Drosophila melanogaster: one gene and its partner. The protein of the gene in region 2 interacts with the protein of the main gene of each other region in a pairwise test. Each region holds a gene or a part of one and is shown on either strand. Other genes may lie near its edges.

What was found. Proteins that work in one complex are often made in the same cells at the same time.
Region 1: the proteins of ACXA (region 2) and Mst57Db interact in a two-hybrid assay, tested with the Drosophila melanogaster proteins (one large-scale study listed by BioGRID).

Annotation. Positions count from the first base shown.
Region 1 is NT_033777.3:25,830,191-25,832,892, forward strand, and holds Mst57Db (Male-specific RNA 57Db), read right to left. Parts: upstream 725-2,702; 5' UTR 715-724; coding exon 592-714; 3' UTR 530-591; downstream 1-529. Other genes in the region: Sfp96F (seminal fluid protein 96F), read right to left, coding at 1-21; Mst57Da (Male-specific RNA 57Da), read right to left, coding at 1,459-1,686. UniProt on the Drosophila melanogaster protein: Transferred from male to female during mating and may affect egglaying and behavior after mating.
Region 2 is NT_033779.5:12,919,323-12,925,998, reverse strand, and holds ACXA (adenylyl cyclase X A), read right to left. Parts: upstream 4,909-6,676; 5' UTR 4,886-4,908; coding exon 4,784-4,885; intron 4,733-4,783; coding exon 4,592-4,732; intron 4,538-4,591; coding exon 4,378-4,537; intron 4,226-4,377; coding exon 3,445-4,225; intron 3,308-3,444; coding exon 3,207-3,307; intron 3,153-3,206; coding exon 2,807-3,152; intron 2,745-2,806; coding exon 2,294-2,744; intron 2,234-2,293; coding exon 1,872-2,233; intron 1,815-1,871; coding exon 1,720-1,814; intron 1,669-1,719; coding exon of another isoform or gene 1,656-1,668; coding exon 1,504-1,655; intron 1,456-1,503; coding exon 1,311-1,455; intron 1,241-1,310; coding exon 738-1,240; 3' UTR 546-737; downstream 1-545. Other genes in the region: ACXE (adenylyl cyclase X E), read right to left, coding at 107-247, 309-380; ACXB (adenylyl cyclase X B), read right to left, coding at 5,101-5,633, 5,706-5,844, 5,899-6,050, 6,116-6,210, 6,269-6,630.

The DNA.
Region 1 (2,702 bases), on a different chromosome or scaffold from region 2:
ATAACCCGCAAGGAACTTCATGTCTATCAGAAGAGAATAGAAATAAAACACAGACCCGGTTTTTATATAGTTTATAAGCCAAGTGTTGCATAAGCCAAGCGAATCGTTTAATTCTTTTAAACGGTGGCCAATTTTAATATCGTTAAATCATTTTTCTTTCGGTCGTACGAAAATCAAATCTTTTGAATATTACATTTGGTAAAATTGGTTTTGCTACATTTGGTTTTGGTACATTTGGTTTTGGTACATTTGGCATTGGCACCTTTGGTTTCGGTATCAGCGCTTTTTGAAACACTTGCGTTTTTAGCATAAAATATATATATTAAAATTTATATTTAATATAATTAGGCAAAAACATCTGATATACTGTCAGATTGTGACTAGTCGTAAAAGCCATGACCATTAATAAGTTTTGGCCAAACAAAGCTTCGAACAAAAGGTTTATGAAAAAATATATATGGTATATTCTTGTATACTAAAATAGATTTAATATTTCAACTTAAAATAAAATAAATAGGCCATTGCTATTACATGCAAACAATTAAGTAAATGTTTTATTGAATTCTGTGCCTGCAATTATCAAAAGCTCATTTACTTTGCGGCGCTGGGACTATTGATGTGGATCACATTCTTGTTTTCGTTGGTGTTCGGATCCGCAGATTGGGCGAAAGCCACACCGGCAAAGAGCAGAACAAGTGCAGAGGTGATCTTCATGTCGGCCAGTTGGAATTGGAAGTAATGACAAGCTAGGGGAGTGCTCTTCTTATAAGGCCTGGGTTGCGTAAGCGATACTAATCTAAATGCCAGACAATTTGAAATTAATTGCACGATGAAAGAAAAAGAAGTGGAACTAATTCCTTAAACCCGAGACATAATAGACCGATTACAATTTAAATAACACTTGATTCCTTTTGTCAATCTGACAAACATTTATATAATCTGAACTTACCTGGCACGGCGATAGAAATCTTTCTTGATTTCATAAAATTAGTATTAGTCTTTAGCAAGCATTTTTAAAAAGCACGCCAATGAAATTTACTAAGCCGAAAAAAAAAGTTTCTTCTTGAATTCAAATTCATAATCACACCTGTTTCAGAAGGATATGAGAAAGCAGTTGTCTGGTTACTATCTACCACAGTTCTCAATGACTTGTCGTGATAACAATAGTCAGTTAAAATAAAATTATTATTTTCCCAACAATATTGGGAAACGTAAATGAAATTTACTGAACCGAAGATACCTTTTTGTTGTTTGAATTCCAATTCATAATCACACCTGTTTCAGAAGGATCTATGACAGCAGTGGTCTGGTTACTATCTACTCCCATGTCTGGTTGGGGTTTCAAAAGTCAGTCCATGTAGTTTAATATTGTAATACATAGATTAAACACTCTCATAAACATATATTGTGATTAGCGATCCATTTTATTAGAAGAAAATAACCTCTGACTCATAATATTTAACTTTCGGCTGGAGCATCTGCGAGTCCTGCTTCAGGAGCAGCTGGAGCTGCGGCAGGAGCTGCGGCAGGAGGTGCGGCAGGAGCAGCAGCAGCTGCTGCGGCAGGTGCAGCTCCTGGCTTCTTGGCACCGATGACGATGACGTTGTGATTTGTATTCTGGCTCTTTTGGGCGCTAACCAAAGCCAGAACAACCAGCAAAGTGACGAAAAGAGCTAGGAACTTCATATCGGCCAGTTGGAAGTCAATTTAAAAGAAATGAGGAAATGCAAGACCGCTTATATAGGCAAAAAAGATCGCCAAGTGAAACAAATCTTCAAATTCGACACGCTTGACCTTATTATACGTGGTTCATTCGAGGAAAATAATGTAATTATCATTGGCATGTGTTTGATTATGCTGATATATAAAAAAAGGAATTAAGTGGAACCCAAGCATAAGTTACTTAAAATATAGAGCATAAGCTTTCAAAATATCATACAAAATATTTTTTTCTTGCATATTGCTGTTACAATCACAATTTCGTGTGTGAAGTGAAACGAATTTGGCTGTTAGTTAACCGTAAGCTACGACGTTGAAGTGCAGTCTAAAAATCTCATAATGAAAGTGTCACGAACTTTAATCGTTGTAGGTTCTCTGCTCCTGATTCTCAGCATCGTATTAACCTACAAATGGATAGCATACAATCATGCTTACCCGAAAGCACAAACAGAACTAACGAATTCGACGAAGAAAGCAAATCTCATCGATAGCAAGGCTAAGAATAAAAAGCACGTGCAGAATTCCTTAGCCAAAAAGGCAGCCAAGTCGGTGGCCAACCAATCCAAGTTCAAATTGGACAAGGTTTCTAAGAAAATTCCAGTCATACCCCTGCTCGATGTTCTTAAGGCCAAAAAGCAGCCAAGTCGTGGACAAAATATATTCTTCCATGAAACCACGAATTTCAAGCGGATAGAAAAGAGCTCTGTGGTCCAATTGACGGCACGGGAGGCCTGTGCCATTGAATCGGCCGCCCTTCACAATCCAGGCCTCACTGTATTTGTACTTTTTGCCGGCGCCACTCATCGCCCATCAAGTGGAGATCCGCTGATCAGGGCTGTTCACACATGAACACGAATATATTTAAAGACTTACAATTTTGGGCTCCGTTCATATCTTATGTAAATGAATCGAGAGCGATAAATTATATTTAGGATTTTGTTATCTAAGGCGACATGGGTGCATTGCTCAAAAACATGTAATTT
Region 2 (6,676 bases):
ATATAAAAGAATTACAAGATGGAAGAAAAACATCTCATTTAATGGTTTTTTAAATATGTTGTGCAACTGTTGGTCTAAAATTGTATCTAGGTTAGGCGGTTCTTACCTCAATCGTTGCTAAAAGTAGGGCACAGTGCACGGAGGTAACGAATATATGCAGCATAAAAAAAGTGAGTAGGTAACTCTTCCAAAGCCGTATCCGATACAGTCGAAACTCGCTCTCCAAACGCAACTCTGCACATTTAGCCTAGAATATTCGGACATAGAATATTAATAAAAGAATTCCAGGTCCAAAGACTTAATTTTACCTTGAGGTAGCCAGGTTCCCACATGCGTTCCTTTGAATAATTAAGCTGACAATTTCCTAGGGAGCGAGGCATTTCGTTTTACCAGCTTATCTTACCTGGCTTTTGTTTTCGATTGACAAGACTCAGCAGAACAATTTAAGCATCGAACACACAGCCTACTTTAACCAGATTTTTCGCTTTATAAAAGGAACTTGTTGAACCCTCCAAAGGATTGAAAAAAATGGGACAAAACGTTCTAAGGTATTACAAATATGTATTTTCCACATAATTTTTACAAGATTTGAGTCCACATCATTTTGTAAGGCTACGCATCTCAAATTTTACAGACAAGAACTACGATCTCAAAATTTGAGAAACGAAGCCTTCAATATGCATTTGCGATTCGAATTCCATATTGAGAAGAATTTGCCGAAAAAATTTGTATCTGTCTTAGGAGCCGTCCAGGTCATGGTTTAGATCTGGATTAGATGGGTTCTCAGAAAGTCTATCGATTTTCTTGGACATGAACTTTAGGTCTTTATCGATGCCCACAAAATAGGTGGGAATTTCACCACGACCCTTCACAAAGGTTAAGCCGCGATAATAGCACATAACATCGAACTCCTCGAGCGTTTGGGCAGTCTCCTTTGTAACCTGTATATGTCCAGACAAACCAGTCGATTCCATTCGGGAGGCCATATTGACCGGGTTCCCCCAGATGTCGTAGTGCGGCTGGGAAGCGCCTACCACTCCAGCCATTATCTGACCCGTAGAGATACCGATCCTTATCTCGCCGGTGGACAAAGCCCGATCAAATGGTTCTCCGGCGTAAGCCTTGTTGCACACCGACAGAACGCGCATCAGGTCCAGAGCAAACGTAGCCATTATAAAAGCCACCTCATCATGGTTCTTCTCTTTTATAGATGACTCCAAACGAGAACGCACCTGTTCTACTGAATTAATCAAATATACCCATATCACATTAGAAGACCTATATTAAGAACCAATGCATTTGGCACTTACATTCGGATGACAATGATGTACTGCCAAAATTCGAGTTGCTATCAAGGTTTTCAATCAGGCTAAAGTCCAATCCACAGGCTGCCATATAAGTGCATCCGACGACTTTGATCTTCTCGACTACGTAATATTGCTTGTACGCAGAAAGCTGCAATCGGAAAGTATAGTATAGTCGTAAATTAAAATCAATACTTACCAATCTGTCGAACGCTGTGATGATATCATTTAGCACTCTTAAGCTGGGCAAATCCATTTGAAAGTTTGTGAGCATGGCAAACATGACTGATACCATTCGATAGTTTTCATAATAGAGTTCGTGTTTGGCTATAGAGCTGAGATATACCTCGACTGCGAAAGAGAACTAAGAACTGAGATACTAAGCTTCTTGGGGCGATATTCTTAGCAAACTGACCAACATGAGATGGAAGAATGTTGTTAAGCAGGATTATGATGGACTGGTTAGTTACATCGGCCGATTTTTGCTTGTTTTGCAAGTCCAGGTTGAGCCTGCAATCAGTTAGGAAAATCAGTAAATCAGCTGATTTAAAGAAAGTATTTGCTTACTTGTAGTTCATTTTAGTGTTGAACTCTGACTGACGCTCCTTAGCGTACATAGTAATCAACATCATGCACACCCTGCAGGAATGAGCTATTTCAGCCTTTAAATAGGGCGATGTGGTAACACTGTGCTCGAAAATGAACGCGTACTGGAAACACACAACCAGGACGAAAACCACTGCTTCGGCGCAACCGATAAAGGTCTTGAGGGCGAAGGGAATGCGGGCGAAGGTGTAACTCATTCCCAGGATAAGGGCCATCATGTTCGTATAGGCCCAGGGGTGGAAGCAGGTAAACGGATCCATGTCATAGTTGTAGAGCTTGCTCTCTATAATGTCCAACTCATATTGGTCCTTTTCACAGCTCATCTTTGGGCATACAAAAAAATATATATATATATTAAATACATGCGTTGTTTCATAACTCACTAATATCAAGGAGATCACCATGTAATAGCACAATATTATCATCATGTAGACAGTGAGGCGAAGGACAAAACTGTGCTGGATCTTTTCAAACAAGTGGAATATGGCGCAGCTGAGTTTGCCGTAACTCCTGTGCTCGTTTTGTCCACTATGCCACCAGCACACTTTCTTGTACCAGCAAATGAATAGTAGGAAAGTCAGGACGAAAAACGCGATAATGTTAATGACAACACCCGTATAAAAGATATCTGAGTTGTTCACGGACTGGATATAAATAAGACAGCAACCAATTCCCCAGCCGAGCGCCACTGAATATTTAAAAATATAATCGGGCTGATGCAAATAATTCCATTCCACAGATTTGTCCTTAAATGCGACACAAAAAATGCCCAAATCGCGTTCGACTTTCTCGTTTTTCAAATTTCTTTCTCTTCGCGACCAAGGGAATTGAAATCTGCGGTAGTAGTTCGTTATTTCATTGCAGGTGCACAATGCACAGTTTTCCCCACAACTCACTTGAAACCCCCCACCGGCATCTTTCTAAATTCCTCACGCATCTCATGGGACAGTAAGTTAGGCTTCAAAATCTGTGATTTTCGGTTAGATCCCACGGTTTGAAGGTCCAGGTTAGGAACGCCCTCAACTATGCTAATTGTTTTATCCGAATCGAGGGATGGTATAGCGGTGAGGAGGTAGGTGCTCATCGGATGTTTCTGCAGTACGGGATCCTTCTGGGCCGATTCCGTGCCCGGATATATATTGTATTCCTCAGCGTTCAAGCTGCTCAGAGTTCGTCCACTAACATGCACATACCCGGGACTTCCGGTTGCTTCCAGACGACTGGCAATATTCACGTCGGCACCTGGAAAACTCACGAATATGTTTTGTGTCATTGATTTGTTGCATCGTACCATACCCCATATGTCGTACTGTAGCTTGGCCTTGCCGATTACACCTGCAAACAAAGTTCCCGAATGGACACCAATTCGCATGCCAATATTCAAAGAACGATTCACACTGCGGACGAAATGGTACTCAAAATGAAAGCCAAATTAGAGCAAAATAACTAAAAAAAAAACGAATCCCTTTCTGCCGATGTGGGACGCCATAAATCATAGATTCTAAACCTAATGGGATCATAGTAATCAACATACCTCACCTCCTTAATGTTAGCAATCATGGAAATTCCCAGAGACACAGCCATGGTGGCGTGATCAGGATCAGATTCCCCCAAACCCGCCACACAGTAGTAGCAATCGCCAAGGAACTTGATGCGCTGCACCTTGAAAGATAAGGCAGCCAAATCAAATCTGGCGTAGAGGTCGTGCAGGACCTTCACCAGCTTCTCCACCGTCAATGTTGTGGTCAATTGGGTGTAGTTCACCAGATCAGCATAAAGGATACTGACATCGTTGTGAATCTGGATGGACATGAAGTTTTCTGCTGTCCGCGAAGTGCCCAGATGGTAGAAGTCGTTATCGGGCTGTATGATCTTTTCCTTAATGCTTTTCTGAATGGGCTTCGCAATCTGTGGTGGAAGTATGCTATCCAGCAGCAAGGATTCTTGACGGCGAGCTTGGCGTAGCCAAATCTCCTCCGTAATGAACTGGTATCGGTCCAAGAACGACGAGCGCACCATGGTGTCGTTCATGATTCTGAAGAATATTCCCATCATATTGAAGCCCAGGTAGTGAAAAAAATCGATTGATACTATATCCAGACCATGAACATATTTAGCAACATTATGCTCGTTAAACGCCATGAAGTGAATAAAATATATCACATATGTTAAACTAACAGATATGGCTAGCAGAGCTGCTGCCTTGCTCGAAGGTATTGGCAGGAACATGTAGATCATGCAGAGCACAAAGACATCGTATAAGGTATTAAGAGGCCAGTTGGATTTGTAATAATAATAAGTGTTAAAGGCTATATCTGAAAACAAGAGAAAACACTATAGTTGAGTGTATATGGAAAGAAGTTGTGGATTTTAAGGATCGACTAATTATCATTGAATCTAGTACAAACACTCTACAAGTAGCTGGTGTAACTATAATATAAGGGCATATTTAACTTCTTAAACTTACCACCCAATACCACAACATATGCCGACAAAGTCGAGGTGAAAGTCATGACCCATCTGTGGCGGATTACAAAGTCTTCAAAGAAATTTATGCTTAGTAGGCCCGTGACTAAAATTAATGATCCCAAGTCAAATATCGCATTTATATAGATGTATTTTGTATACTGCGTAGAGTAATATACGTCAAAATAACTAGATCGCCAACTGAAAACGCTTACCTCGGTAAATGACCATATGATTACTTGAAGAGCTACGATCAGTAGTATTAACATGGGGACAAAAACGGTAAGGGAACTGATCATCAAACGAATCTTATATTTCATATATTCCTCCTCTAAGTGCAACTCCTTACATCTGGCCTACGAATATCTGTTGCATTTAAGAAACGGATATCTGAGCAAATTTCTTACCTTCAAATAACTTTGTTCCCAAAGGCGTTCATTAGTATATTCCAGATTACATCGCCTAAACCTTTCCCTGTACGGCGTTTTGTAAGTGTTTTTTTTGTTCATATTTTTAAGTAGTATTTTTTTTACGTTTGAGTTATTGTATGAATGAGAACTAGGTTCCAGGACTCAAAGCCTGCTTAGACCCATGAACCTACATTTAACTTAATTGAATGTCATTAACCTTTATTTTACATATTATAACATATGATATAAATGATTGAAAATATCTTATACGAGGTAGCGTACAGAATATAAATCTCTAAAAATTTTAAAAAGTATTAAATGTATTCACTTGAAGTTGTACTTCGGCTGTGAACTGGCACTAGAGAGGACAAGATTGAAAAACGCTTTGACATATTGTTCTTCTTCACATTTGAGGGCAAAAACTTCAAGTTATCGTCGATGCCCACAAAGTAGGTGGGAATTTCGCCACGACCCTTTACAAAGGTCATGCCACGGTACATGCACATAATATCGAACTGCTCGAGAATATTGGCTGTCTCTTGCGTCACATGGATGTGTCCAGGCAGCCCTGTCGATTCCATTCGAGAAGCCATATTCACAGGGTTTCCCCAGATGTCATAGTGTGGCTGAGACGCCCCCACAACTCCGGCCATTATTTCACCCGTTGAGATTCCGATACAGATCTCTCCGGTAGATAGAGCACGATCGAAGGGTCTACCAGCGTATGCCTTATTGCAGACGGAAAGCACTCTCATTAGATCCAAGGCAAACGTGGTCATTATAAAGGCCACCTCATCGTGGTCATTTTCTGTGCCTTTGGACTCTTTGCGATAAAGCACCTGTTCCACTAAAAGAAATGAGTTTATTAACAAAATTTAAACCCTTCATCATTGGAAGTCCATCAAGAGGGTGTACTTACATTCGGATGAGTAAGAAGCATGTGTTCTGCTTCCAAATTTTGACTTAGCCAGGGTAAAATCAAGTCCACAAGCTGCCATATAAGTGCAGCCCACGACTTTAATCTTCTCGACGACATAATATTCCTTGTAGGCATTTAACTGGGTTCGAAAGTGATGATACCTTATTATCTAGAAATCAATACATAAGCTTACCAGTCTATCAAATTCTGTTATAATATCGTTTAAAACTCGAAGGCTGGGCAAATCCATTTGAAAATTGATGAGCATGGCAAACATGACGGACACCATTTTATAGTTTTCGTAGTACAGTTCGTGATTGGCTACTGAATCGAGATAAACCTCAACTGTGGGTGAAAGCGTGTTTGATAAGAACCCTAAGCTTTGGGCTTGTATTCAGGTAAGAACTGACCCACGTGGGAGGGAAGAATGTTAGTGAGTAGAATTATGATGGATTTGTTCGTGATGTCAGCCGCTTTTTGCTTGCCTTGCAAATCCTGATTGATCCTGTTAACAAGGCGAAAATTCTCTTTATTGAGAAGTAGAAAGAGCATTAAAAACATACTTAAAGTTAATTTTCGTATTAAACTCTGACTGACGCTCCTTTGCGTACATCGTGAGTAACATCATGCACACCCGAAGACAATGAGCTAGTTCCGCCTTCATAAATGGTGTTGTGGTGGCACTGTGCTCGAAAATAAATGAGTACTGAAAGAATACGATAACCAAGTAAGCAACGGTTGCGCAACATGTAATGAGCATCTTTAGGGCAAATGGAATTCGGGCGAAGGTGTAGCTTACGCCCACGATCAGGGAAATCATGTCTGTGAAGACCCACGGATTAAAACAGTTGTCAGTAACAATGTCATAGTGATAGAGCTTGCTATTGATAACATCTAGCTCATATTGATTTTTGTCACAGTTTAGCTGAATAGAATGATAAGATTCGTTAACGCAAGGGTGTATACTTAGT